Linked DNA regions of Canis lupus familiaris. The protein of the gene in region 2 binds, or shares a complex with, the protein of the main gene of each other region. Links are inferred from orthologs where the notes say so. Each region holds a gene or a part of one and is shown on either strand. Other genes may lie near its edges. The genes, in order: POLR1B, POLR1H, TAF1C, POLR1F, UBTF, TAF1A and POLR1E.

Region 1 (3,761 bases), on a different chromosome or scaffold from region 2:
CCACATTCTTGGCTGCCCACAAAGAGGCAGATTTGGCAGCCCAGGCAAAAGCTACCAAGAAGTGACCCTGTCCTCCACATGCCAGGATTTTGAAGGGAATGGCTGAAATGGAGGCCAGTTGGAAAAGCTGTACTGAAGGGGTGGAAGGAGGCGACACCAAGCTGATTATTTCCCTGACTTTAAATTATATATTTTTACACATATGACAATATCAAGAAATCAAACTTTAAACATCCTTCTGTCATCAAAAAAAATTTTTTTATTTATTTGAGAAACAGTGTGTGCACACAAGCAAGGAAGGGAGAGGGGCAAAAGGAGAGGGAGAGGCAGGCTTCCTGCTGGGCAAGGAGCCCAATGCGGGGCACGATCCCAGGGTCCTGGGATCAGGACCTGAGCTGAAGGCAGATCCTTAACCAACTGAACTACCCAGGTGCCCCTGAAATTTAGAGTCTTTATATTTTTTTTTAAAGATTTTATTTATTTATTCATGAGAGAGAGAGAGAGGCCGAGACACAGGCAGAGGGAAAAGCAGGCTCCACTCAGGGAGCCCAATGCGGGACTCGATCCCGGGACTGCAGGACCTCGGCCTGGGCTGAAGGCAGGCGCTAAACCGCTGAGCCACCCAGGGATCCCTGGAGTTTTTAAATTAGAATGCCAGTTATCCTAAACCAAGTATTTTAATTCTAGCCATCTTTATTGTGAAAATCCCCATTTGGCCTCAGTCTCTTAAATTAATGATTCTTTGACTTTGTAGATTGTGAATAAAGCCTCCTGGGAACGAGGCTTTGCCCATGGAAGTGTCTACAAGTCCGAGTTCATAGATCTCTCTGAAAAAATTAAACAAGGAGATGATAGTCTGGTGTTTGGTGTCAAGCCTGGGGACCCACGGATTTTGCAGAAGTTAGATGATGATGGATTGCCATTTATTGGAGCACGGCTGCAGTATGGAGATCCATATTATAGTTACCTGAACCTCAACACCGGGGAAAGCTTTGTGACGTACTATAAGTAAGTTTGGGTACCCAGTGCTGGTTATTTTTTTTTTAAGATTTTATTTATTTATTTATGAGAGACACAGAGACATAAGCAGAGGGAAAAGCAGGCTCCCTGCAGGGAGCCCGATGCAGAACTTGACCAGAGCCAAAGGCACCCAGCCTCTGAGCCACCCAGGTGTACCCACCCCCCTCCCCAGTGCTGTTTTTTAAAGGTGGTTTTCTCAGTGAAATTGCCAAGGTCAGTGAAAGTTATCTTGTAACAGGAGAGTTGTGGAAAAAATATAAGTGGTAGCTCGGTTACTCAGTCATAACTGAATTGGTATTTCTTAAATGAGACACAGTTCTGTGTCTGTCTTTTTCTATTTCTCTTGTCAGTCTGTTACACGATTTGATAAGTTATCTGTGACTTCTTTGAAAACTGAGTTATTCAAACTTGCTATCTCTCTCATGAATGTTTTTTTGGGTTTCCCTAGCTAAAAATGTCAAGTTCAGTGTGCCTCTCGTTAAAATTAAAAATGTAAAAAAAAAAAAAAAAGTGTCTAGCTTATTTTACATCTATTAAATGGTTTTAGCAGTAGGTCTTTGTTATGGTGTTTTGGTAGTCTCTTGTGACTATTCTTTCAGATGAGCAGAGTTCTGTAGCAAATCGAATCAGTAGCCCTGTTCATAAATACTTTCAGGGATATCAAATCTATTTGTACTGGAGAATAAATGAAAAAATAAATTTTGCAAATATCCTTTATGTCAGTAAAACTGAGGTGTCTTTGTAAGTTTAAAAATAATAGTTTGACCTTCTGTCTCCTTTTTTCCCCCAGGAGTAAAGAAAATTGCATTGTGGATAACATCAAAGTGTGTAGTAATGACACTGGCAATGGGAGATTCAAGTGTGTTTGCATCACGATGAGAGTCCCTCGGAACCCAACCATTGGAGATAAATTTGCTAGCCGTCATGGGCAAAAGGGCATCTTGAGCAGGTTGTGGCCAGTTGAGGACATGCCATTTACTGAGAGTGGGATGGTCCCAGACATTCTGTTCAATCCTCATGGTTTTCCCTCCCGCATGACTATTGGTATGTTAATTGAAAGTATGGCAGGGAAGTCTGCTGCTTTGCACGGTCTCTGCCATGATGCTACACCCTTCACCTTTTCAGAAGAGAACTCGGCCTTAGAATACTTTGGTGAGCTGTTAAAAGCTGCTGGCTACAACTTCTATGGCACTGAGAGGTTGTATAGTGGCATCAGTGGGATAGAACTGGAAGCAGACATTTTCATAGGTGTGGTTTATTATCAACGTTTACGCCACATGGTCTCAGACAAATTCCAAGTTAGAACCACAGGAGCCAGAGACAAAGTCACTAACCAGCCCATTGGGGGAAGAAACGTACAGGGTGGAATCCGTTTTGGGGAAATGGAGCGGGATGCTCTCTTAGCTCATGGTACATCATTTCTCCTTCACGACCGCCTCTTCAACTGTTCAGATCGATCGGTAGCCCATGTCTGTGTCAAGTGTGGTAGTTTACTCTCTCCACTGTTGGAGAAGCCACCTCCTTCTTGGTCTGCCATGCGCAACAGAAAATACAACTGTACTTTGTGTGACCGCAGTGATACTATCGACACTGTTTCTGTGCCTTATGTTTTCCGGTATTTTGTAGCTGAACTGGCAGCTATGAACATCAAAGTGAAATTGGATGTTGTTTAACTTGATGTGGCCTTTTGGGTTAGGAGAACTGTCAGATTAAAACAAAATGTGACTTTAGCTCAGTGAAGATATTACTTGGTTACTCTGGAGTTATTTTCAAGCATGTTTCCCACCAAGACTTGGCAACTAAGAATTCAAGATTTCTGAGTCTGACCAGAAGAGTAACTACTAAAGTTGATTTTCAGTACACTTGTTCAAAAATTCGATGAGTATCTTAAATGATTCTACTGGTAAGTAGAAGGATATATAGGGAAGTCTTTCCAACCCCAGGGTCTTTGAATCCTACTTTCAGTGGGCAGTGAGTGTCGAACATTTCCCTGTCTAGAACAGAGCAATCCAATACAAATACAATGCAGGCCGTTTATGTAATTTTATATTTGCTTATATCCACATTAAAATAAAAACAGAAGGTAGCTCTATCGAAGTGTAATTATTACATAAAACTGCATATAGTTAACATACAATTTGATGGGTTTGAGCATACGCATACACTTATCAAAAATGATCACCACAATCAAGGTAATAAACATCACCTCCAAAAGATTCCTTGTGCCCTTTGTGTGTGTGTGTTTGGTAAGAACACTGAATATGACCATCTACCTTCATAACAAATGTTTGGATGTACGATAGAGCATGGTTAGCTACAGGCAGCATTTACTCACCTTGTAACTTAGAACTTTACCAGCAGCAACTCCCATTCCTCTCCACCAGCTCCTGCTAGTCATCATACTAGTCGAGGAGTTTGACTATTTTAGATATCCCATATAAATGAGATCATGCAGTATTTGTGCTTCTGTGACTGGCTTATTTCACTTAGCACAGTGTCCTTCCCATGTTGTTGCATATGGTAGAATTTCACTCTTTCTTAAGGCTGAATAATAGTCCATTGTTTGTGTGTGTGTGTAGATCTTTATTCATCTCTCCCTCTTTTTAAAAAGATTTTATTTGAGAAAGATAGCAAGAGAAAGCACCAGCAGGAGGGGTTGGGGGAGAAGCAGGCTCCCAGTGAATGGCCGTCGAGGCTGCAGTTATGCAACTTCCGATGTGTGTCATGACAATGTCACTGCT
Region 2 (4,380 bases):
TATTGTGGCCGGACTACAAAATTTCGTTCAATGTGATAAAAAGCAAGATACAACTTGTATTCGTAGTAAAGCCCATTTAAAAAAAAAAAAAAAAGTATCTCTCTGAAGTAGGATTCCTTGTCATTTTTTACTCTACCTTTCCATATATGAATTTATCACAATGAATATACATTTATGTCAACAGCAATAAAAAAATACAATTTTCAAAATGTCCAATGTGTTCAGCATATACTGGTAAACCTTAGTATCAGACTTCTCCTTGTTCCAGCTCACACGTCAGACACATCTGGTTACGTTATCTGCTTATCTCCCAGCATCTGGGCTCCTGCTTTGTTTCCCTAAACTCAGGAACCAAATACATTTAGTCATGGAATACTTGTAATTACTTAAAAAAAAAAAAAAGATTTATTTATTTATGTGAGAGACAGAAATAGAGGCAGAGACATAGGCAGAAGCAGGCTCCCTATAGGGAGCTGGATGTAGGACTCAATCCCAAGACCCGGGAGATCATACCCTGAGGTGAAGGCAGATACTCATCCACTGAGACACCCAGGTGCCCATAATTACTTTTTATATTAGTCTCATTCCTGCCTCCATTTTTTGTCTTTGGTAGTTTCCTTTTTCCCTTTTCCTTCTCATACACTAATTTATACTATATTTTTTGTAGCTGATATACTTACTGAAAGAATATATTCTCTGTAAATCCATTTAAATTCCTTTTGGAACAAGACATTATAAATAACAGGTATGTCTGGCTTATATAGAAAAACGTAACCTTGATAAAGAAACTCAACTACAGTAGGTGTACTGTAGGGACAATGGTAATGCCCACATGATAATCTCTGTCTATGGGAGCAAAGCACTGCAACCAGGATAGACAAAGCATCTAAGAACCCAATATCCCTCACCTTTCAAGGAAGAGGGAGAACTGATAAGGTGCCCAGAAAGAAAATCAAGAGTCTTCCTTCTCCTGGAACCTATGGAGAAAGAAAGGACTCATTATATTTAGGCACAGAGGTTTTAGCAGTATAAGACAAACATTCACGTGAAAAATTAAGGAGGGAGTTTTATTTATGACATTGTAGATGACTAGCTCCCCGAAACAATCCTTCAAATTCAAGACAACTAAAAATCCTGGACTAAAAACCTAAAGGACAATGAGATAAAATCTCACACAGATCAAAATGGTTAAAAGTAATAAGTCAGGAAACAACAAATGTTGGCAAGGATGTGGAGAAGTGGGGAACCTTCTTGCACTGTTGCTGGGAATGCAAACTGGTGCAGCCACTCTGGAAAACAGTGTGGAGGTTCCTCAAGAAGTTAAAAATAGAGCTACCCTATGACCGGGCTGGATGAATCTGCACAACCTGCGACTGTTATCTTGGGGTTGAGTTCAAGCCCCACAGTGGATAGAGATTATTTAAAAACAAAATCTTAAAAAAAAAAAAAATTTATTTACTCATGAGAGACACAGAGAGAGAGAGAGAGAGAGAGAGGCACAGACACAGGCAGAGGGAGAAGCAGGCTCCATGAAGGGAGCCTGATGCGGGACTCGATCCCAGGACTCCAGGATCATCATGCTGTGGGCCGAAGGCAGGTGCTAAACCACTGAACCACCCAGGGATCCTGAAAGCTAGGTCTTGATAAGCGTGGTGAAAGTACAGAACACCGAAGACAAGGAGTTCTCAAATGGTTCAGGTCTCTCTGGTTCCTGAAATCACAGGTGATTCTCATAAAAGCAAGAGCACTGGAACAAGCAGCAGGATTCAACACGCAGACCACCCAGAAATACCTGCCTTCTCTCTGTTCTCACTCCTTTAAACAGCTTAAAAGCTTCGCTTCACTGGCTATAAAAAAAACTAACAAAAATGTTCTTTTTCAAAAATAAAAAAAAAACACAAATGTCCCTGTTACCTGAAAAGAGGACAGGACCAAAGGAAATAACCGGTTCTTGGGTACAAGAGGGAAGTCACAGGACATGTGTGGTTAAGGGCCAGAGGGAGAGGGCAGAGGGCCAGGGAGGGGGCACACCTGCAGCTGGTGCAGGTGTAGAAGACGGTCTGCCCCTCGTCAGCTGAGCGCATCTGTCTGGTGTGGTAGGCCATTCCCTCGTGACCACATCGGGAGCAGCGCCTGTCAACCTGGCAACCAAAGGGGGGGGGGGGTCAGGGAAAGCCAGGATGACCCCTGCTTCCTACAGGAATCTCGTTGCATGCTCTCCCCAGCACCCCTGCTCCAAAGACCTCTGTTTCCCCAGACCTCAGCACTCAACCCTGCAGCCCTTCCCGCTCTCCCTGTGGATCAGTGTTGGCATCACTCACTCACCACGGGTCGCTGGAGGTCGGGCTCCTCCTGCACACCCGTTACCCCAGACTCAGCACTCAACCCTGCATGTCTCCCCGCCTTCCTTGTGGGTCAGTGCTGGGGTCACTCACTCACCACGGGTCCCTGGAGCTCTGGCTCCTCCTGCACCGGCGCGGGCACCGCCGTCCCCACCTGGTTGAACACGATGCGGGTCCTCACCACCTTCCCCTCGAAGTCTGCGGAGCGGTAAGCGCTGGCTGCGGGCACCCCCGGACCCTCCGCCGCCCCCCGCAACCCGGCCGCTCCCGCCCCCTCCTCACCCCGCACGGGGACGCCGAAGCCACAGCGCACACAGGTGACCGCGTCCTGGGCCCCGGGCAGGGGCAGGACGGAGCCGCAGTCCGGACAGAAGTCCAGGTCCGACTGGAATCTGGAGCCGGAGGGCGCGGGGTCCATGGCGCAGAGGGTGCGACGGTGGGCAGCTCCGGTTCCGTCCAGGGACCCCGGCGGCCGCGAACCGAGCCCTCCTCCCTGGACGCGCGAGGCTCCGCGGGAGGACCGGCCGGCGTAGTGCGGTCCTCCAGGGCAGGTGAGAGCACCCGCCGAGCGGAGCGGGCTAGAGCATCCGCCGCGCAGACGCCCATTGGTCGTGACGTCACAATCCCTCGCCCAGACCGCAGTCCGCCGCGCCGGCGCCCTTGGGTGTAACATCACAATCCGGCGCCCAGACTGCTGTCCGCCTCGCCGGCTTCTGTGGGGTTGTGACGTCACAATACGTCGCCCCGACTGCTGTGCGCGGCGCTGGCGCCTTTGGCCGTGACGTCACAATCCGGCGCCCGGCGCCCCGAGAGCCCCAGAGCGGGGGTCGAGCGCCGTGGGAGACGGACGGAGGTGCCGACGCCGGGATAGGAGCTCGGGTAATGGCCGCTGCGCCTCCGGACACTCCATCAGGAAGAAGCGCAGTCCGGGGATACGTATTTTCTGGGACCCAACCTCGGGAGCGTTGCTTGTGGAGATGTTGCTGAGCTTCCCGAACGCCGCCGCGCCGCCCCGGAGCCAGTGGGCCCAGCTCCGCCCCGCCGGCCTGACGTGCCCAGGACATGCTCTAGGAGCGGGCGGGCCAGGGAGATGAGGGCGAGGGCCGGGGGCGGGGCGGGGCGGGGCGGGCGGCCCAGGCCCGGGGCTGACTTGGGGGCCGTCCCCCTCCGCCGCGCCCAGCGGGTCACCGGGGAGTGACGAGCACGGTTGCCGTTCCCGAGCGTAAGGCTCACGGTCGCTAGGGAGCCGAGCTGCGGCCGCTCGCCAGTAACCACCGTCTGCGGGGCACGAGGAGTTTCTGAGCCGCTGCCCCCGTGGCTCCCGTCCGCCTGTCCCCGCAGGACGTCGTTCTGTCCGGCTCGAAGGGGGCGGTCTGCCGTTTAGACCGCGAACGTTAAAATTAGCCTGTTAACCTCTTTGACTCTGCTCCCGACTCCGTGACCGTGCAGTGCTGCTCCACGCAGAGTCCAGCGCGATCCCGATGGGCCGGTGTCGTGAGGCCCGGGCCTTTCCAAGTGTCTGTGGAGCTGGGGCGGCACCGTTGGAAAGGATGCTGTGACCTCAAGGGGTACGAAGGACACGGTGGAACCCGCCACGAGAGACCCACACAGGGCCTAGGACTATGGTGTCTGCACCTCCAGGAGGACTCGCTGATGTTTCAGTAAAAACGTGGACATGGCACCTCAGGAGCAAAGGAGAAAGGTGCTCGAATACCAGCGACAAGGGAACCAGAAGATGAGTTCCAGAAACTGTTGCTGAACACAAACCGTGCTGGGTTGTGTTCTGAAAAGTAATAGGACGGTTACCTTTGTTAAATATCAGAATAGGTGTCCACGGACAGATAGGAACATAGGCAGGAAGTCAGTGAGATCCAATAACTGATACCAGGCTCATTCCAGTAACAGAGACACATCGTATTTGTCAATCTAAATTATAGATTACCTCCCGTTTACAGTCTAAATTTCAGCATGAAAGTGTTACAAATGATACAGGTATCACCATGGAAACCCTGGCTGGTTTTCAAGTGACTTAGGAATA
Region 3 (4,512 bases), on a different chromosome or scaffold from region 2:
CCCCAGTGCGGGGCCGGCCTAAGATAACTCAGCCTCAAAACTTGCAATCACTGGCAAGCTGGGCTCCCAGAGGGGACCAATTGGACATTAAGCCCTTCCTTGTCGGGGGACCCCACCTCACCCCTGGCATAATCCCAAGCCTGTCTCCAAGTGGGAGCCAGATGGTTTAGGCTTCCAGGGAAAGCACCTTGTCCTTCCTGTCCCAGGAGGCCTCTCCTCCCCTCCCATACCCTGCCTTCTCTCCCGGCTTCATGCCTATTGCGCTATTTGAGCATCCTCTGGGTTTCACGCAGAGCTCTTATCACACAGGGTGAGGATTTTATCCTTTGGTCACTTGTCTCATGGGACCTAACCCTAAGTTCCACAGTGCAGGGGATGCCTCCGACATAGTCACCCTGGATTCCCAGGCCTAAAAAGGCCCCCTGAACACTGTAGGGGCTGATCAGTGAGCATCTGCTGAGCAAAGGCAGGAAAGGAAGACTGAAGGAGAGGTGCTCCTGTGCTCAGGAAACTTTCTGCGGAGAGCAGGGTATCCCCTGCAAATGCAAGTGGCTCAACCTATGTCTTGGCATAGTGCCTATGTCACCCCACCCTGGCTCCTGATAATGGGTGTGAGTGCTGGAGAGGAGGGCCGGTGAAGGGGCCCTGCCAAGGCTCTCTGTGCCGTCCTCACCTGAGAGTTCTCGGGCAGGGTCAGTGCGTCTCTCCAGCTACACATGAAGGACATGTCAGGGACATTACTCAGACCAAGGGGACCAGTCATAAACAGTGTGGGGTGGAGAGAGCTAGGGAAATCCATCCTGGAAAACAAGAAGCACACGTCATGCCTTCGTAGAGACAAGAATCTGATCATGCCCTCCAGGGTTCCTGGGAGAATGGCAAATACCCTAACAAGAGCATATTTCATTTCAGGAGGTAGATAATAAGCAACAAATAAATATGCAGCTTACTACCAGATATGAACAAGTGCTATATTAATGTCCATGAGGCACGGGATGGTGATGGGCAATGGCAGCCAGGGAAAGCCTTGCTCATTAGGGAGCATTTGAAGCCTGAACCCAATGAGGAACAGAACCATGCAGATGACTGAGAGGTGGGTTCCTGGAAGAGTGAATGGCAAGTGCAAAAATCCTGGGGCAGGGAAGTATGTGAAAAACAGCTAGGAGGCCACAGAATGAACAAGGTGGAGAATGGGAGGGGAAGAAGTCAGCCAGGCAGCAATGGGGCAGCTTCCTAGCTCTCCTGTGCTACAATCACACATTGTAGACTATGCACCCTACACCCCAGGCTGCATTCCCAAGACCAACTCAAGTTCCCCCAAAGCCAGGACAGAATCTTATTCATAGGTCTTCCCACTGTCAAGTACGGTACTTTGCAGAAAATACAATTGACCTTGTGCTGAATAATAATAAGTTTATGTCAAAGGGGAAAAAAATTTAAAAATAAATTTATGTCAAAGGGTTTTGCCAAACGCCAATTGCTCTAGAAAAATAAGCAGCCATACCATCCCTTTTATTTTTTTTAAAGATTTATTTATTCATGAAAGACAGAGAGAGAGAGAGAGAGAGAGGGAGGCAGAGACACAGGCAGAGGGAGAAGCAGGCCCCACGCAGGGAGCCCGACGTGGGACTTGGTCCCGGGTCTCCAGGGTCACGCCCTGGGCCGAAGGCGACGCTAAACCGCTGAGCCACCCGGGCTGCCCTCCCTTTTGTTTTATTAACCACAAGAATAACAGTTCGCTTTACTGAACACAGGCACCTGCCAGGCTCGGGCTACATGTCCATTCTCCTGGTGCCCCATCTTGGGGTTCAGGAGACTGAGGCTCAGCCAAGACAGCAAGCACCCCAGGGCCACCAAGCGTGAGCCCCCGTGCCATTCCCGGTCCAAGTGCTGAACCCGTCTGCCCTCCCGCATCCACAGCAGACACGAGCTTTCGTCTCGGTCCACAAAAATCTTCCCCCGCGCTCTTCGCTGGTCCAGAGCGCCCGCCACGCCGTCAGGGCTGCTGAACCCTCCCCAAACGGACGAGCAAGCGCGCGCGGCCCGGCGCGGCAGCCTCCCCGTCGCGCGGTCTCGGCCTGGCCTGGCCTGGCGGGCGGGCCTGCCCTCCGCTCTGCTCGCAGACTCGGGGCTCTCCTCCCGGGGCACGGTCGCAGCCGACGGCTTTCGGAGTTGGTGGTGCCGCGCTCCCGCCCTCACGCGCCGTGCTCCGGCAGAGCAGCAGAGGGCGGCAGCACGCATCAGGGGAGCGCTCGGAGGAGCCTCGGGCAAGACGCCGGCCGGTGGGCAGGGCCGAGCGCCACCCTCGCGGCGGAGGCCGCGTCCCTCCCGCCCCCCGGCTGCGCTCCCCGCCTCGAGGAAGCCAGCGCCCTCCCCCCGCTCGGCGGGCAGCAAGCCTCGGCCCAGCACCCGCACCCTCGCCCAGGGCCCGCGCTGCCACGTGTGCCAGGGCCGGCGAGGCCGACACCCTCGTGCTGGGACCTGCTCCGGGGCCGCCGCGGGGCCTCGCTCTGTGCTCCCGCGGCCCGCAGACAGCGAGGGAACAGGCGCAGCAGCGAGCGCCCCCGGGACCCGGGACCCGGGACCCGGGACCACGGACGGCGGCGGGGCGGGGTGGGGGGGGGGTCTCCGGGCTTGGCCTCCGCGCCGACCGCTGCGGCCACGCTCCGCCCCTGCGCGGCCCCGCCCCGGGGGAGGGGAGCCGACCACCCAGTCGCACAGCGTGGGGGCCGCGGACGCGCGCGCAGGCCCAGCCCGGAGACCCCCCCGCCGTCCCGGCGGCGCGCGCTCTTACGTGGCCCGGGCCCGCTGCGCTCCTCGGGGACCTGCACCTCGCCGCGCCCGCGAGCCGCGAAGGAGCCCGCGATGGGACGGCGCCTCCGCCGCAATTAACGGTCTTCCGGGCCGTGCCGGAAGTGCTCCCTCCAAGGCAGGAAGTCCCGCCTCCCAGCCCGGCCTCCTCGGGCTCCCTAGAGCGCCACCGCCCGGGTGGAGGGGGAATGGGCGTGGAGGCGGCGCCCTGGTCGGTGAAGTATACAGTCTCAAGGGCCCATAGTGAAGGCCAGTTTGACGCGGGTTCGAATCCCATCTCTGTCTAACTTCCTAGATCACAGGCTTCTTATTGAGCGCTTAAAAAAAATTTTTTTTAATCTATTTTCTCATGAGAGACACACACAGAGAGGCAGAGACATAGGCAGAGGGGGAAGCAGGCTCCCTGCGGGGAGGCCGATGCGGGACTCCATCCCAGGACCCCCCAGGACGAGGACCTGAGCCCAAGGCAGACGCTCAACCACGGAGCCACCCAAGCATCCCTTGTAACAAAAGTATTAACTGAATTTATTCCACAAACACGCACTGAGCACCAATATGAGCCAGACACTGTATTAGTGAGTAGAAATCCAGTTAATTGTCCTCATACCCTATGAACCAGTCTTTACAACTAGGGTTACCAGCATCCGTAGAGTGCATGAGGCCCTCCCAGTGGTCAAGCAAGTACAGCTCTAGGCATTGCTTCTCAAATTCTAGCTTGCATCGCATCACCTGAACAGGGTGTAACATAGGTTTTAGGTGCGGTGGGACCTGATAATTTGATCTAAATTCCCAGGTGATACTGATTGTGCCTCCTGGGGCGCACACTTTAAGAACCACTGTGCAATCATAAATCTTACCATTATCTTAACCCAATACCTCTCAAAGTTGAGCGTACAACAGAATCTGGAGGGCTTGTTACACCAGTTTGCTGGGCCTCACTCCCAGAGTTTCCAGTTCAGGAGGTCTGGGATGTGACTCAAGAATTTGGCATTTCCAATGAGTTCCCAGGTGATACTGATGCTACTTGCTGGTCCAGGCACCATGCTTTGAGGCAATTGTTTTTTAAAAATCCATTTCCAAATTCTCAGCTTCCATCTATACAGTTTTATCTGAGAGGTGCTTGAGATAAGACAGTTGTCCTTCCACATTTTCTTTCTTCCACACTGTGGAGTATTGCCAGAATTGTGTGCTGAACAAAAAGCAGAGTTCCCACAGAAGAGAGTTCCCATTAGACTAAGAAAAGTGGGTTCAGTAAGAAATAGTGATGGAAGGACACAAAAGGAGGACTTTTGGGAACTGACCATACTATGTTCATGTCAGTGCTAGTTACATGGATGCGTTCAGAGTGTGAAAATTCATCAAATGATCTGTGCAATTTTCTGTACCTATGGTGTACAGCATTAAAGCAGCATTTTTTTAAAAAAGAAAATGTGATGCTTTATCACTTTGAAATTTCAACTCTAGGTTAGGCTGCATGACTTCTCAGCTGTCTTAGAAACAGAATGCATGGGCATCCCAGGGGGCTCAGCAGTTTAGGACCGCCTTCAGCCCAGGGCGTGATCCTGGAGACCCAGGATCGAGTCCCAAGTCGGGATCCCTGTATGGCGCCTGCTTCTCCCTCTGCCTGTGTCTCTGTCTCTCTTTGTATATCTCATAATAAATAAAATCTTTTAAAAAAATGCAGATGGCACTTTATGAGGG
Region 4 (3,754 bases), on a different chromosome or scaffold from region 2:
TTTTAGGGTTTAGAATTAGTTTTTCCTGTTGTACATTCTAAAACCCAGGGAATGTAAGTACAACTTAATGACCTGTGTCCTGTGTTCCCTTTACTGTATCCTGTAGAATAATTGGGTACTGCTCTCAGAATTCTCTATTTTACCTATTCACCCCTCACCTTCCTTCCATCCTCCTGAATCCTGGCAACTATTGATCTTTTTACTGTCTGGTCTCTATGGTTTACCCTCTCCAGAATGTCATATAGTTGGAATCATATTGTATGTAGCCTTTCAGCTTGCCTTCTTTCACTTAGCAGTATGCATTTAAGGTTCCTCCATGTCTTTTCATGGCTTGATAGTTATTTTTTTATTGCTGATTAGTACTCATTGTATAGATGCAGTGCAGTTTGTCCATACCACCCAGAATGTACCATTGGGAACACCAGACTCCTAATAATGACAGCCAATGAATTTTTTGTGTATAAGGAGTTGCAACACTAACATGTATACAGTTTTGTTTAAAGTTTAAAATAAATGACTTAAACGTTTCAGATGTTAATTTATATACATTATATACATTGATTTGTAGGGAAAGAAAAGAAAACTAAGGCTTTTTTTTTTTTTTTGAAACTTTCATATTTTAAGCTTAAAATCATATAGCACATACTTTTTAAAGCTTCCCAAAATGCTTTGTGATTCAGTCAAAATAGCCATGCTCAAGATCTACATTTCACATTTAGGTTATATCAAAGAGTATTTTCTGCTTGGTTTCATTATGGTTATACTCTACTCACCAGGGAATCCTGTAGTAGGAGCAAAGGAGTTGTTTTTATTGGGGGGGGGGGGGGGGGGGGGAGTGAGAAGAATAGTTGTTTATCCAGTTAGGCAATTGATATGCAATTACTTAGTAAAGTTGAACTTTTCTCAAATCTCTACAGTGTTTTAAAATGATGGTTTAGTATAATATGTAAATTTCAATCAAAAAAATTTTTTCCATGTCAAATTATACCATATTTTGATGTTTTTTTTTTTTTTTGAAGATCAACTTGAGGCTTATAAAGTTTTATTTACCTTTTAACTCTGGATTTCTTGATGTTACAGTTTTTTTTTTTCTCTTTCTTCCCAGGGTATAGTTAATAAAGTGTCATCCAGCCACATTGGCTGTTTAGTACATGGGTGTTTCAATGCCTCCATTCCTAAACCTGAGCAGATGTCTACTGAGCAGTGGCAGATCCTGGAGATAAATGTAGGTGATGAACTAGAATTTGAAGTATTTCGTTTGGACTCAGATGCTGCTGGAGTATTCTGCATTCGGGGAAAGTTGAATATCACTAGGTCAGTTCCTAATCACATTATTTTAATTTTGATATTTAGTCATTTGTTTAATTCTCAATTTAGAGAACATAAGTCCCTCTTAAAAAAAAAAAAAAAATTATTAGGGTATTCATGCTTCCAAACCATAAAGTCAGTGCAAATAGGAATCTAAAGTGTTAAGACAATGCATTGAATATTCTAAATCTCTACACATCTAGCTAACTGTTCTGTATTTTACTAAAACTCAGTCTTACTGAGTATTTTCTAGTTAATTTTTAACTAAAATTAATTTTTCTAGTTAATTGTTAGCATTTTCACAGTTGAAACACAAATTTGATTATTGTTATTATGCCAGGTAGGTAAGTTCTGTATCTTTTGATATTGAAATTATTCTAAGAATTACTCTCATCTTGAGTTTGTTTCCATGGAAGCCAAGTTTAATGGAGTGTAGGGGGAAAGAAAAAGGCTTTGGGAATACTGCTGGTGTTAATTCCTTTTTTAGATTTTACCTTGATAATTAACAAGAGTATGGGTTACAGTTTTAGAGCAGTTGTGCAGTAGAACTTTCTGCAATGATAGAAACATGTGCAGCATCTGTGATATCGAAGTTATCTTGTTGAAATTATTTATATGTAGATATTATTACTGTATAGGACTTTGCAGTTCCAGAGTTCCACTGATAACTATTTTTATTTTAGTGTTAACTCATAGCTTTGAAGGTATTATTGCTTCAAGCAAGGGTAAGGGAAAAAAATGAAACAAGGATTGTGAGAGTAGAAGGAAACTCCATTAGTTTCATAGATAATGGAAGTATATATTTTATCACTCATCAGTTTAGCTAATAAGCCTGGGTATTGTGATGTTTATTGTCACCAATTTTTTCTGAACCAAACCAAAATTTAGAAGCTACATTTTGATAAAATTTATGTCATTTTTTTATGTGTGAAAACAGTGTGGAAGAAGTACTTTGGAAAAATTTTAACCTTTCCCAGACATTTTAATGGGTGAGAGATAACAGGATAGAATATTTCAAATTTATGCCATACTTCTGTATTTTGTACTGCTGTCATTTTTTTAGAAAAAAATTGGGATAGTCTTTCTCATTTTATTTTTTGTTTATTGCTCTGTAAATTTTTTCAACTGTCAATTTAGTTTACAAACCAAGTGCTCTGCAGTTCCTGAAGAAATAACAGTAACTAGCACTGAAGAAATTATTGAAAAACCTCTCAAGAAAAAAAAGAAGAAGAAAGACCCAGAGTCCTATGAAGTGGAGAGTGATAACAGAGAGCTAGCTGATGTTACAGATGCCACAATGAAGAAAGAGACAGACCCGCAGATTGATAATATGAATGGCCTATGGAAGGATGAGCCGAAGAAGAAGAAGAAGAAGAAGCAGCAGCAGCAGCAGCAGCAGCAGCAGCAGCAGCAGCAGCAAGATCAGGACCAGGATCCTGTTTTCCAAGGCAGTGACTCCAGTGGTTACCAGAGTGACCATAAAAAGAAAAAAAAGAAAAGAAAATACAGTGAGGAAGCTGAATTTACCCCACTTTTGGAACATTCACCTAAAAAGAAAAGGGGAAAGTAATTTTCTTTAGTGTATTTTAAATATTGTTTTTTAAAAATTAAGATACAACAGATGAATAAATGTCAAAATGGTAGGAGATGTTTGTGTATTCCAGTAGTCTACAAAACAGGAAAGATTTGATTAGAAGTTTTTGGTGCTTAAATTATTAAAGTGACGATTACTATGGGAAATACCAATATTATTAAACTGCCATTTTATTGTATACAAAATAAAAAAGAGCTGCTCTCTCGAGTCTTGCATTTTTCCCATTTTTACATTCTAAATAAAATTCTATACTCTGAAGACTGGCAAAAGGACTTTGTATTATAGTGTTATTCATATCATTGAAGAATGAGTTTGAGCTTCTGTTTGTTTTTTTAAATAGGTTTGCCCTGTAGTCATATTACCTGTGATTTTTAGATTTTGTTGGCTACTACAGTGTTTCTGTGGTTCAACTTAGAAGGGTTTGCCAAAGGAGTTCCATGCCACTATTGACTGTAGTAGGAAACATTGTTCACTATTCTTTCCTTCCAAATGCATGTTCTCTTTTTTTCTCTAAGAGGTTGATAGAGAAGGCTCTTCTCTTGTACTTGTCTGCTTTTGCTGTGTTTGGAGGAGCAGAGTCTAATTAAGACATGATAAACACCATTTGTCCCTAGTGGGGGAATTTCTCAACTCTATAATAATTAGGTTAAATACTAAAAACTGTGTAAGAAAATTTCACTGAGAAAACATGGACTATGTCTTTCTTAACTACTAGAAAACACTGAGTAATGAAATGGCAAGCTGGTTCAGGCTGATTATCAATGCATGGCCATGTTCATTGATGTAAGAGTACCTATGCATTACTGTGTGTAATACCTCTAAGGAAAAGACATATAATGGCAGACTAGGAAG
Region 5 (3,761 bases), on a different chromosome or scaffold from region 2:
GTGCAGTATCCTCATAAAGGGAACCCCCAGAGAAGGGGTTATTCCGGTTGTGTGGGCAAGGAACTGGGGCCCAGGAGGGACTCGCGTCCTGGGTCACACAACTAGCAACAGCAGAACAGCACTTGGGTGCTCTTCTCACCGCCATGTCCACACATATTAAGTGGGCTTCCTTCCTCCACGTTCAGCCAAGGATTTGTACCTTGTCCCTTGTGGCCTCGTGCTGTCAAGTGGACCCTCACAGAGGGCAGCAAAGCAGTGGAGGAGCCTGCAGCAGGGCCCCAAGTGAGATGGGGAGAGGAGAGAGATGGACAGCCAGGGTGCTGGACTGTGAGGTGGAGCCAGGGAGAGATGTCGGTGAGGGGCAGTGGGAGAGACAAGAACGCACATTTACTGGAAGAAGAGACAAAGCCTTATGTGGCCAGGTCTCAGGACGTGGCACCGGCTGCCACACCATACATAGCCCTCTGTCTTCCTGGTTTGTGCACTCTGGCTGCAGACTCCCGTGCCCTTGGTTCTGTATCCAAAAAGAAGCCAGCTTGGCTGGGTGAAACCAGCTGTCTACACTTGCTGTCCAGGCCAAGCAGGAGTAGGAATTAAGAGTTTTCTTTGGCCCCTCTGATGGGGATGTTGCAGAGCTGACTGTACACACAACACCCAGACTCTCATGGAGAGGGAGGGAGAGGCAGAGGGTCTGAGGACCTGGGAGAGTTAAGAAACTATGTGGTAGAGTGGACAGAGTGCTGGCCTGGGGGACACGAGACTTGGGGTTCTGCTCCTGACTACCACTGAATTGTTCTGTGTGTGACCTTTGGTAAGTTACCTCATTTCTCTGGACATGGTCTTTATCTGAGGTGCAGAGGATAAGCCCAGTCTGCTTGTGCCTTATTCTGAAAGCCGCTGTTCTGTGTGAGGAGGGCTGAGATTAGGGCAGAGTAGGCTGGGCTCTGCTCCCCATTTTCTACAAGAACCACAGGGGAAGGTGAAGCTGGTTCCTCCTGTGCCTGGTGCCTCTTGTGAAAGGCAGGGGTTGGACTCAGTTGCCATGAGCCTCTGGATGCTTCCACAGCTGACTCTTGTGAACCGGGGGAAAAAGGGAGAAAGGAGAGCTGGACGTTGAGCAGTAGTGAGGACAGGAGGTAGATGAAGGAAGGAAGAAAAGAAGAGAGGAATGGAGAGGCAGGAACAAAATGGAAGTAGGCGGGTGATGGCGGGAAGGGAGGCCAGCCCTATAGAAAGAGGTGGAGGAGAAGGAAGAGAAGCCAAGGCAGAGGAGAACCAGTCGGGTGGGGGAAGGGGAGCTCGAGGAGCCTGCCAGCCAGGAGCTTGGAGAAGGGATCAGAGGCAGGGAAGAAGGTGATGGGAAGGGGTTTGGGATGGGGAGGGCATATGAAGGATAGTCAGGGTTCCAGGGGGACCACTCAGCAGATCGGGAAGAAAATTCAAGTTGAGAGATCTATGAGAATGTCATTCACGTTGCAAGAATTCACTCTGGGTGCCTTCAACACAGTCTACCCTTGGGCCTTACTTGAAAGCAAGACTCAGCCTGCCCCCGGCCCTGTGAACCATCTTTGAGGCAACAGACCAACAGTAGCTGCCACAGACCTGAGAGGAGGGAATAATAGGGGCAAGGCCTACACCTCCTCCTAATGCATTGAGGAGAGTTTTGCGGTGTTGGGGAAAGGTGGGGAGGTAAGGTCAGGGGGAGTCCCAGCTGTGTCACTACTCACTGTGACTGGGTAATGCTGGGTCCCACTCCTGGGACTCTCCCTCTCTTGACAGGAGGGAATAGGACATAGGATGTATTCTGGGAGGCCCCTGTAGCTCCCACTGTGTGGCTCTAAGCTAGCAGTTGGGGCTACGGTTGAGCGCCCCCCCCCCCCCCCCCACAGCCCACTGGAAGGCAGGCCACCATCTCCTGCCAGCTCACGCCACCTTCTATCCACATCACCACTGGGAGGCAAAATAGCTAGCAAGGAGGACTCAGTGGCTTTTGTAGCTCAGGCTTTGGGTCGTGGATGACCCCATCCCCTCCTCCCCCAGATGAAATATATTCAGGACTTCCAGAGAGAGAAACAGGAGTTCGAGCGAAACCTGGCCCGGTTCAGGTAAGGCAGTGGAGCCCAGAGGAGGGCCACAGGGCACTGGGTGTGGCAGGTTAGGGTGATACCAACCAGAGCCTCGAGCTTGCCATCTGTGAGGCATGGAAGATGGATGGGTCATGTGTAGACCCTAGTGGGTCACACTCAAGGGCAGGGACAGGCAGGTAGCCACTGTCCCACTAGGCCCCAGTTGATAGGCCTAGGAGCCTTGGTGGGTGGGGCAGCTAGCTGGGGGTCTCCCTGGCAGGATCCCCCTGTACCCGCTGACTGTTGCTCCCCATGCCCTGGCTAGGGAGGATCACCCTGACCTAATCCAGAATGCCAAGAAGTCGGACATCCCTGAGAAGCCCAAAACCCCCCAGCAGCTGTGGTACACCCACGAGAAGAAGGTGTATCTCAAAGTGCGGCCAGATGTGAGTGTCCGGCCAGGGGGTAGGGATGGAGGGCGCACGGTGGTGGCAAGGGGGGAGCCGCGCCAGGTCGGCCGGGCACGGTGCAGGGGAGCAGGAGAGGAGGCCCCTCCCCAGGGGTGGGCTGCATGGACAGGGCCTGGGCCAGCTGGCGTGCGAGTGTGTGCGTGCGTGCGTGTGTGAGCCTGTCCCCTTGCACCTAGGCGGGATTCCCGCCTCTCTACTTTCCCCTCCTGGCCTGTGGGGGACACTCCTGTGACCTCCTGTGGCCTGAGGGGGTGGGGGCCTCTGTGCCCCCTTCCCCCTTCTCCCCTCCCCCTGCCCCTGGCTGCCTGTGTGTGTCTGACGGCTTTTGGTTTGCAGGCCACTACGAAGGAGGTGAAGGACTCCCTGGGGAAGCAGTGGTCTCAGCTCTCGGACAAAAAGAGGCTGAAATGGATTCATAAGGCCCTGGAGCAGCGGAAGGAGTACGAGGTTAGGCTTCCGCTGCGCTCCTCCCCATCCGGCTCTTCAAGAGCCTCTGCCCTCTGACTCTGTGGCCTCCGCACTCTGCGGGAGGCAGTCATTCCCTGTCCCTTCATTGAGGGAGGGGCCTTCTGGGCCCCTCACCTCTGCCCCTACCTTCCCCACCCACCCCCCCAAGAGATCTCAGGCTAGGGCAGGGCAGGGCACCACGTCTCGTGTGACATAGCAGACACACGGCCACCCCCCAGCTTTGCTCCCTGCCTCCCCTCCCCAGCGGCTCTCCCCCCTCCCCAGCCCCCGCTAACCCCACACCCCGTTGCCCTCCATCCCCCCACCTCACTCTGCAGGAGATTATGCGTGACTATATCCAGAAGCACCCCGAGCTGAACATCAGTGAGGAGGGCATCACCAAGTCCACCCTCACCAAGGCCGAACGCCAGCTCAAGGACAAGTTTGATGGGCGACCCACCAAGCCACCTCCGTGAGCACTGCCCTGGGGTGGGTGGGTGAGTGGGCACGAGGGCTTCTAGGGAGCTGGGCCATCCAAGGATCTCGGCCAGGTTCTGAAGTTGAAGCCAGGTGCCCTGGACTGCCCTGGTCACTCAAGGGGGGTTGCTCTTCCTTTCCTGCTGTTTCTGATAGGAACAGCTACTCGCTGTACTGCGCAGAGCTGATGGCCAACATGAAGGACGTGCCCAGCACTGAGCGCATGGTGCTATGCAGCCAGCAGTGGAAACTGCTCTCCCAGAAGGAGAAGGATGCCTACCACAAGAAGTGTGACCAGGTA
Region 6 (4,418 bases), on a different chromosome or scaffold from region 2:
AGGTAGTCTGGGAAAATGACAAAACACCTCTCCCTTAAAACCTCATTTATTGGGATCCCTGGGTGGCGCAGCGGTTTAGCGCCTGCCTTTGGCCCAGGGCGCAATCCTGGAGACCCGGGATCGAATCCCACATTGGGCTCCCGGTGCATGGAGCCTGCTTCTCCCTCTGCCTGTGTCTCTGCCTCCCTCTCTCTGTGTGACTATCATAAATAAATAAAAATTAAAAAAAAAAAAAAACTCATTTATTCACATAAAGGAGGACTGACCTCAGGCCAAGCTCCCATCTACCCCTCAAGTTTTCACTACTCAGAATGGAAATTGGACTTTAGACTAGTGTCCTTACATCCTTGGAAAATTCTCCTTCTGTCTTCCAAATTAGCCTAGTTACCCTACTAATATCTCTCACTTCATTCTTTATGAGCAAAAGATTATCCTATTTGTTGCCAATACACTTTCAAAAATAATTGCCTAGGAAAAGAAATTTTGACACAGAATGAGGTACAATAAAGAACAAGTGCCATCAACCTATCTCTAATGCCCCTGAAAAAACCTGGAAATGTGTCAGTCAACAAATATTTTTTGAGCACTATTTTGAGCCAAGTACTATTCTAAGGTACTCAACATTCAGTTTTAATCCAGATTGGCCTCTGTCTTCGAAGTTTTTATTCTAGGGGGCATACCCTTCAAAACCCCAAAAGATATCTACTAGAATAAAAAATAAGCAATTGCTAGGCAATTCTGTTTTCCTATTATGGCTATTTTTTTTTAAATCTCTACAATGTCAATATTACCTGAAATTATTTTCTCATTGCAGACATAATGTATTTTGGGTTTAACAGGCTATCCATAACTTATGAAACATTTCTAAATATGTAAATTCTGGACTTACACCTATCTGCTCAGTTCCTAGTAAGTATTGCTAGAGAAAACAAACAAACAAAAAGTGTACCTACCATAATACAGACTGCTATTAGTTCAAAGGAAAAATAGAAAAAAGGATCTATTTTTTTTTTCTTACAGCCTCAAAAACCCTTATATAGTCCCATCCTGAAAACTGAGTAAACCAGTTTGGTTATTCACTTTGTATCCAGAGTTTTATCATCTCTCTGCATTACAATTAAAATGGCTGTATGTGATTTTACTTACCCACAGTCTCTATATGCTTCTGGAGCCAAGGAAAGGACATTCCTGTACCAGAGAACATGCATGATTCCTCTTGCTCGTCCTCTGTCTTGGACCTTACCAATTCTTCACTGAAATCACTCATACCTGCTCCAAATTGAGATTATCAGTTCCTTTCTGTGTATCTTATTTCACAGAATTCTTAAACAGAAAAAAATGCCATCTTTTTATCTAATAAATAACACTCAATCAGCAAAATTATCTACTAGGTCACTCCTTTAAAAAAAAAAATTTCATTTATTTGAGAGAGAGCAAGGGGGGGGTTGGGAGGGAGGGAGAGAGAAAGAGAGAGAGCCAGTGCACAAGCAGGGGGAAGAGGCAGAGGGAGAAGCAGACCCCCCCCCCCAACTGAGCAGGGAGCCTCACTAGGGGCTGGATCCCAGGACCCTGCGATCTGAGCTGAAGGCAGATGCTTAACGGACTGAGTCACCCAGGCACCCCCAGGTAGCTCCTTTATTTATTTATTTTTTTTAAATTTTTATTTATTCATGATAGGCACACAGTGAGAGAGAGAGAGGCAGAGACACAGGCAGAGGGAGAAGCAGGCTCCATGCACTGGGAGCCCGACGTGGGATTCGATCCCGCGTCTCCAGGATCACGCCCTGGGCCAAAGGCAGGCGCCAAACCGCTGCGCCACCCAGGGATCCCCAGGTAGCTCCTTTAAAGAAAGGAGTAAAATTATGCCAGCAACAGCCAAAAAAAATGATCCATTCAAAAAAACTTTTTAATCTTTACTATGTTACAAGAACAAAGATAGATAAGATAGTGCACCTTAATAAATACACACATAAAAATAACAGCTCAAGCTTAGAGGAAGAAACAGCAAAATGATACATAATAATAAAACCACACAACCACAATAACAGTAGTAATGGTTAATATGTATTGTCTCTATCTATACCACCAAGCTTTTAAATTATCTCGTTAATTCCTATAAAAATCCAGAGGAAACTACGATTATTTTCTTCCACGTTCATATTGAAAAAAAACTGAGGGGCTTAATTAAGTTAAGCCAACATAAGAAAAGTGAAGACAATATTCCAGGACATCAAACTTGGCATCAAACTACTTGGCATGAATAGTCTTGGGTCCATGTAGAGGAGGGGGTAGGAAGACAGGACTGAGGGTCACCTGGGTGGCTCAGCGGTTGAGCGTCTGCCTTCTGCAAAGGTCGTGACCTGGGTCCCAGGTGGAGTCCCCCATCGGGCTCCCTGCATGGAGCCTGCTTCTCCCTCTGCCTGTGTCTCTGCCTCTTTCTCTGTCTCTCGTGAAAAAAATAAATAAAATCTTTAAAAAAAAAATCAAATTCTGCGGTTTAGGAGCATGGGTTTGAAATAACACCCGAAACACGTGTATTTTAACGAGCCCTTACAGAAGAAACTCTCCCTTCCCAAATTCTCAAAAACTAAGTGGGTGCCCCCCGCAGTTGCCACGGTAACCATCATAGCTTCTCCACCCCTTCCGCCTCGTTCTCAGCAATAAAGGTTTCAGAACATCAAGAAAAAAAAACATCAGCAGAACAAGGGTGAATCCTAGCGCAGCCCTTCGGGTGCTACTCTGCACGGCGGCGAGGACGGACGGACAAACGCAGCGGCACTCACCTGCCCGACGCCCACACTTCTCCGCGGCTCTAACGCAGCCCAGCGACTGGGGCCCAGCGAGAGCCAACCGCCACCGGAAGCGGAGTTAGAGACGCCTCGCTGCGAGCATGCGCAAAGCCGCCCCCTCGCACACCTGCGCTCTCAGGCGGTGCGCAGACGCGGCCCCGCCCCTAACCCCTCCTCCCGCGGCGGAGGCGTCGCCTTCGGCGGCTCGACCCCGGAAGTGGCTGCGGGCCGCTGCCCTCCCTCGGGGTGGGTCCCGGTGGGGGAATGCGGGACTCTAAGTGCCTCTGGAGACCGGGACGACGGGATGATGGACGAGGGGAGCAGTCAGAGGAGCGGAATTGCACCGCACCGAGTGATTCACGGAACCGGGGCCTTTAGAGTTTTGCTCGGCCTAAGGGTTAGGAGGCCTGGGGCGGGGGCGGGGGCGGGGGCGGGGGGGGCGGAGAAAGGGACGGGGTCCTGACCGAGATAAACCTGCAGAACCTCTTTTTTTTTTGTTTTGTTTTTTTGTTTTTAAAGATTTTGTTTATCTATTCATGAGAGACACAGAGAGGCAGAGGGAGAAGCAGGCTCCACGCAGGGAGCCCGACGCGGGACTCGATCCCGGGACCCCGGGGTCACGCCCTAGGCCCAAGGCGGGGGCGAACCGCTGAGCCTCCCAGGCAGCCCCTAATCTGCATAACCTCTTAACCGCTTCCTCGAAATCTTGTTTTTCTCTTTGATTAAAGTTTTAACTTTGAATTTATATATGTCCCCAAATTTTGGGCAAGAATGTGTTTTTGCCCTCTCGGCAGAGATGGCTCTGGGGACACGTCTGGGGTCATTTTTCCTGAAGAATGTTGATGAACATACGGGAGAGAGGCAGGGAGGCGTCAAAAGTGAGACGATCAGGGCAGCCCCGGTGGCTCAGCGGTTTAGCACCGCCTTCGGCCCAGGGTGTGACCCCGGGGTCCCCGGATCGAGTCCCACATCGGGCTCCCTGCATGGAGCCTGCTTCTCCCTCTGCCTGTATCTCTGCCTCTCTCTCTTTCTCTTTCTGTCTCTCATGAATAAATAAAATCTTTAAAAAACAAAAAAGATGAAGACAGTAAAATGAAAACAACTCATCCAATAGTGTAAACAAGATTTAAAAAAAAAAAAGATGACAAAAATGCAAATATAAAACAAAATGAAGCATACAGAAGGTTTCTAGACTCCAATCTAGAAGAAAACATATTCTAAGAAGCATAAAGATGTCTTTACAATTGTGTTATGCTGAAGAACAACTTAATATAATAATAACATTTTTTTAAGGGCAGCCCAGGTGGCTCAGTTAAGTATTTGCCTTCCACTCAGGTCAGGATTCCAGGATCCTGGGATTGAGCCGCACATCAGGCTTCCTGCTGGGCTGGGAGCCTGCTTCTCCCTCTGCTATCCTCCTCTTTGTGCTTTCTCTTCCTCTCTCTCAAATAAATAATAAAATCTTTAAAAATAACATCTTTGAAAAACTGCAAACTTATTTAGAAAATATTGTTTCCACAAACCCTTCAGTGATTGCCACAAACACTCTATTTTATTCCCCGCAGTCTAATAAAGAACAAGCTTTAGACAACCAGTTGGAAAGACATCATCATAAACAGTCTATACTAG
Region 7 (3,199 bases), on a different chromosome or scaffold from region 2:
TTGTCCCAAGGCTGTGGGTGGCATTCAAGGGAGAACGAGGTGGCCTCTGAGTGCTTGGAGCCCGTGGCTGAGCAGAGGGTGGTGAGGCCTTAAGGTTGGGCTTTGAACCGGAGCAGGCCTGTGTCCCCAGGGCTATGCTGATTGTGATCATCACCAGTGGGGCCCAGGCGCTAGCCCGCGAGTTGGTGCCAGTGCAAGTGATGGTTGATGCCGAGTGAGCTTTTATACGTGAAGTTAAATTTATGAGCGGTTTAGGCGATAAAGCATCCGACTCTTGATTTCGGCTCAGGTCATGATCTCAGAGTAGTGAGATCAAGCCCCAAGTTGGACTCCACACTCAGCAAGGGTTCTTCTCTTGTCTTATCTGTATCTGTCTCTCTCTCTCTGCTCTTCCATTCACGTGTGCTCTTTAAATCTTTTTTTAAAAAAGTTAAGTTTAGGGGATCCCTGGGTGGCTCAGTTGTTTAGCGCCTGCCTTCGGCCCAGGGCATGATCCTGGAGTCCTGGGATCGAGTCCCACATCGGGCTTCCTGCATGGAGCCTGCTTCTCGTTCTGCCTGTGTCTCTGCCTCTGTCTCTCTGTGTGTCTAATGAATAAATAAAATCTTTAAAAAAATTAAAAAGTTAAGTTTATATATTTAAATACTATATATTTTAAATAACTCAGATGATCTCCCCTGTACCTTTTGACCCTTAAACAGCTTCTCTTTGTTTTTTTTGTTTGTTTTAAGCAGCTTCTCTTTGATGATGACAGTGGAATTTTCTTGCTTTTGAGTTTTTTCTTTTAATAATTTCATCTTGAGAAAATAAAAAATTGAAAACCCTAGGTTGGTTCCCTGATTTTTGAAGGTGCTTTTGTTGTTCCAAAGATACATTTCCAGAAAAACTTATTACTGGTTCTTGGTTGTCGTAATGTAATCATGGCTCAGCAGCAGGTGAGGAATGAGCTCTGGGCCGAGAGTCTGGAGAACTGAGTTCCTGAGCTCTGCCTGAGGTACTGTGTGATCTTCCCTTCATTGAGGCTCAGTTTTCCTATCTGTAAAATGAGCCTGCTGCAAGATGATCTTGAAGAGCCTTTTTATTTCTGTGAGTCTGGGCCTCATGGTAGTAGAACAGTTCATAAAAGAATAACTGACATTGATGGAGCTTTTGTATGTGCCAGGTACTGTTTTAAATGCTTTAAATGAGACTTGCGTTACCTCATTTAATGCACAAAAAACCTCTAGAGGGAGGCCACTATCTTTGTCCTTAATTTTTAGGTGAAGATGTTGTACGGAGATGTACAGACACACTGAAACTTGCCCAGGCTACTAATTGGTAGAGAGGGGATTCAAACCCAGGCAATCTAACTGAAGGGCCTGTGCTCCAGACCACACATCAGGACGGGGCAGACAATGGCCTGTGTGCCAAGGTCAGGCTGCTGTCTATGAGTAAAGTCTTATTGGAACACAGCTATGGCGGTTCATTTGTTATTAATGGCTGTTTTTGCACTACACTGGCAGCTTTGAGTAGATTTAACAGAGATCCAATGGCCCACAGAGCCTAAAATATTTATTGTCTAGCCCTTTCCTGCCTTAGCACTAAACCATGCTCACTGTGTAATAAGGAGGATATTAGGATGGCTCTTCAACGGTTGAATGTGATCAGCTGTGGAGGATGCCCGCTGTTTTCATCATGAGCGTCAGTGGTTCCTGACAGGGTTGGTCTTACATATTCCTCCCTTGTCCCCCTTGTTTTAGCCACTGCTCCTTTGTCATAGAAGCATTGAAGTCTTTGCCATCAGATGAGAAGAGCCGAGACCGCCAGGCCCGATGCATATGGTTTCTGGACACGCTCATCAAATTTCGAGCACAGAAAGTGATTAAGCGGAAAAGTAAGTCCATGATAGACATTTTATTCTAGTCCTTTCCAGCCTGTTATTTGTTCAACCAGCTCTCGTGAGAGAAGAAAATGCGTGTGCTTGTCCAGATCTTTATCTCTGACTGTGTAACAGTGAGGTTCCTGTAGCTGCCAACACGGGTTGGAGGATTGGCCCAGCTCTTTACTCCTCTGAAAATGGGGACGGGCTTGGTGGTCCGATTGTTCAGAGCTAATATTCACTACTTCTCTTCTGCATTGGGCGAAGTATAGACTTCAGTCAAATCGAATGAAAATTTCAAGGGATGGTTGGACCAAACATCAGTCCCATGGGGAGAAAAATCGGCTTGGCTCACATGAAGGCTTGTGGCAGGTTTTTGTTGTGTCAGCTTATTCTTTCTGTGAAAGAAGAGAGTCCATTCCCCCTGGTAACCTGTGTCCTCTATAGTGAGGGCCACAGGTGAGAGCCTCCCACTCCTGTCTACCTGGAGCTAGAAACCCGCCTGTGGTTTTAGGCACAAGCTGGTGCCATCTTGTTGTTGCTAGAGCTCCCAAGAGTCTGTATGTTTTCAGTATTTACTTGGTTTATTTTCGCATTTCAGTCTCCTTTCCTTTCCCTCTCCCTGGGCTTTCACCACAAGCTGTATTGTATCTTATGAATCCTGTGTCTTTAGGCCTTAGTGGAGTCTGTTTTTCCTCCTGGTTACCACCCCATCACAAACATCTCTTGGGTGCATGGGGTCTGCAAGCCGGAGCACAGCTGAGCTCGTTTTCACTGGGAAGTGGCTGTTCTGTGTCGTGGGCCCCTGCTCCTCTTACCACATGGTTCTCTTCATCGCAGTGGCTCAGCTGTTGGCCTCTTTTCCCAGCTCAGGGGGGAGGTGTGTTCCCAGGGTTTGGAAACAAAACGATCCATCTCACCTTTGTGTCGCAGGTGCCCTGGGACCCGGAATCCCCCATGTCATCAACACCAAATTGCTGAAGCACTTCACCTGCTTGACCTACAACAACGGCAGGTCAGGGATCGACTTCGGGGTGTCGGCCTATAAAGGAGAAAGCAGGCGGGGGCAGGTGGCGAGGGTGGGACGAGAGCATGAACTGGCTTCCATGTCCACAGACACTGCTGACGGGGGCACTCACTGCCGCCTGCAGGGGCCTGGGGTCAAGTCAACTGAGGAAGCCCTATATATTATCTGCTCTGTCCCCCCTGGAGAGGTTCACTCTAGAGGTTTTAGGGAGTTCCTGCAACGGAGACTTATTTCAAGGAACCTTCCTAATATTCCATAGAATCAGTGTTCTATGGGAAGGCAGTGTCACAAAACAAGGCAGCCCAGTGTGATGA

Evidence for each region.
Region 1: POLR1H (region 2) and POLR1B share a complex: the UniProt entries of both Homo sapiens proteins name them as parts of the pol I pre-initiation complex. The link is inferred for Canis lupus familiaris from reciprocal best matches to the Homo sapiens genes POLR1H and POLR1B.
Region 3: POLR1H (region 2) and TAF1C share a complex: the UniProt entries of both Homo sapiens proteins name them as parts of the pol I pre-initiation complex. The link is inferred for Canis lupus familiaris from reciprocal best matches to the Homo sapiens genes POLR1H and TAF1C.
Region 4: POLR1H (region 2) and POLR1F share a complex: the UniProt entries of both Homo sapiens proteins name them as parts of the RNA polymerase I (Pol I) complex. The link is inferred for Canis lupus familiaris from reciprocal best matches to the Homo sapiens genes POLR1H and POLR1F.
Region 5: POLR1H (region 2) and UBTF share a complex: the UniProt entries of both Homo sapiens proteins name them as parts of the pol I pre-initiation complex. The link is inferred for Canis lupus familiaris from reciprocal best matches to the Homo sapiens genes POLR1H and UBTF.
Region 6: POLR1H (region 2) and TAF1A share a complex: the UniProt entries of both Homo sapiens proteins name them as parts of the pol I pre-initiation complex. The link is inferred for Canis lupus familiaris from reciprocal best matches to the Homo sapiens genes POLR1H and TAF1A.
Region 7: POLR1H (region 2) and POLR1E share a complex: the UniProt entries of both Homo sapiens proteins name them as parts of the RNA polymerase I (Pol I) complex. The link is inferred for Canis lupus familiaris from reciprocal best matches to the Homo sapiens genes POLR1H and POLR1E.

What each region holds. Positions count from the first base shown.
Region 1 is NC_049238.1:36,976,498-36,980,258, forward strand, and holds part of POLR1B (DNA-directed RNA polymerase I subunit RPA2), read left to right. Parts: exon of another isoform or gene 1-314; intron 315-563; exon of another isoform or gene 564-754; coding exon 755-1,008; exon of another isoform or gene 1,009-1,810; coding exon 1,811-2,693; 3' UTR 2,694-3,761. UniProt on the Homo sapiens protein: Catalytic core component of RNA polymerase I (Pol I), a DNA-dependent RNA polymerase which synthesizes ribosomal RNA precursors using the four ribonucleoside triphosphates as substrates.
Region 2 is NC_049256.1:27,778,202-27,782,581, reverse strand, and holds the start of POLR1H (DNA-directed RNA polymerase I subunit RPA12), read right to left. Parts: upstream 3,062-4,380; 5' UTR 3,016-3,061; coding exon 2,625-3,015; intron 2,541-2,624; coding exon 2,440-2,540; intron 2,142-2,439; coding exon 2,032-2,141; intron 978-2,031; coding exon 953-977; 3' UTR 909-952; intron 339-908; 3' UTR 1-338. UniProt on the Homo sapiens protein: Core component of RNA polymerase I (Pol I), a DNA-dependent RNA polymerase which synthesizes ribosomal RNA precursors using the four ribonucleoside triphosphates as substrates. Can mediate Pol I proofreading of the nascent RNA transcript.
Region 3 is NC_049226.1:68,671,472-68,675,983, reverse strand, and holds the start of TAF1C (TATA box-binding protein-associated factor, RNA polymerase I, subunit C), read right to left. Parts: upstream 2,916-4,512; 5' UTR 2,795-2,915; intron 801-2,794; 5' UTR 800-800; coding exon 674-799; intron 1-673. UniProt on the Homo sapiens protein: Component of the transcription factor SL1/TIF-IB complex, which is involved in the assembly of the PIC (pre-initiation complex) during RNA polymerase I-dependent transcription.
Region 4 is NC_049235.1:33,894,603-33,898,356, reverse strand, and holds the end of POLR1F (DNA-directed RNA polymerase I subunit RPA43), read left to right. Parts: intron 1-1,105; coding exon 1,106-1,314; intron 1,315-2,445; coding exon 2,446-2,878; 3' UTR 2,879-3,171; downstream 3,172-3,754. UniProt on the Homo sapiens protein: Component of RNA polymerase I (Pol I), a DNA-dependent RNA polymerase which synthesizes ribosomal RNA precursors using the four ribonucleoside triphosphates as substrates.
Region 5 is NC_049230.1:19,058,336-19,062,096, forward strand, and holds part of UBTF (nucleolar transcription factor 1), read left to right. Parts: intron 1-2,040; coding exon 2,041-2,105; intron 2,106-2,391; coding exon 2,392-2,512; intron 2,513-2,872; coding exon 2,873-2,983; intron 2,984-3,321; coding exon 3,322-3,455; intron 3,456-3,616; coding exon 3,617-3,758; intron 3,759-3,761. UniProt on the Homo sapiens protein: Recognizes the ribosomal RNA gene promoter and activates transcription mediated by RNA polymerase I (Pol I) through cooperative interactions with the transcription factor SL1/TIF-IB complex.
Region 6 is NC_049259.1:17,550,890-17,555,307, forward strand, and holds the start of TAF1A (TATA box-binding protein-associated factor RNA polymerase I subunit A), read right to left. Parts: upstream 2,933-4,418; 5' UTR 2,784-2,932; exon of another isoform or gene 2,719-2,783; intron 2,617-2,718; exon of another isoform or gene 2,609-2,616; intron 2,510-2,608; exon of another isoform or gene 2,506-2,509; intron 2,445-2,505; exon of another isoform or gene 2,314-2,444; intron 1,325-2,313; 5' UTR 1,268-1,324; coding exon 1,147-1,267; intron 1-1,146. UniProt on the Homo sapiens protein: Component of the transcription factor SL1/TIF-IB complex, which is involved in the assembly of the PIC (pre-initiation complex) during RNA polymerase I-dependent transcription.
Region 7 is NC_049232.1:54,136,836-54,140,034, forward strand, and holds part of POLR1E (DNA-directed RNA polymerase I subunit RPA49), read left to right. Parts: intron 1-1,739; coding exon 1,740-1,873; intron 1,874-2,791; coding exon 2,792-2,873; intron 2,874-3,199. UniProt on the Homo sapiens protein: Component of RNA polymerase I (Pol I), a DNA-dependent RNA polymerase which synthesizes ribosomal RNA precursors using the four ribonucleoside triphosphates as substrates.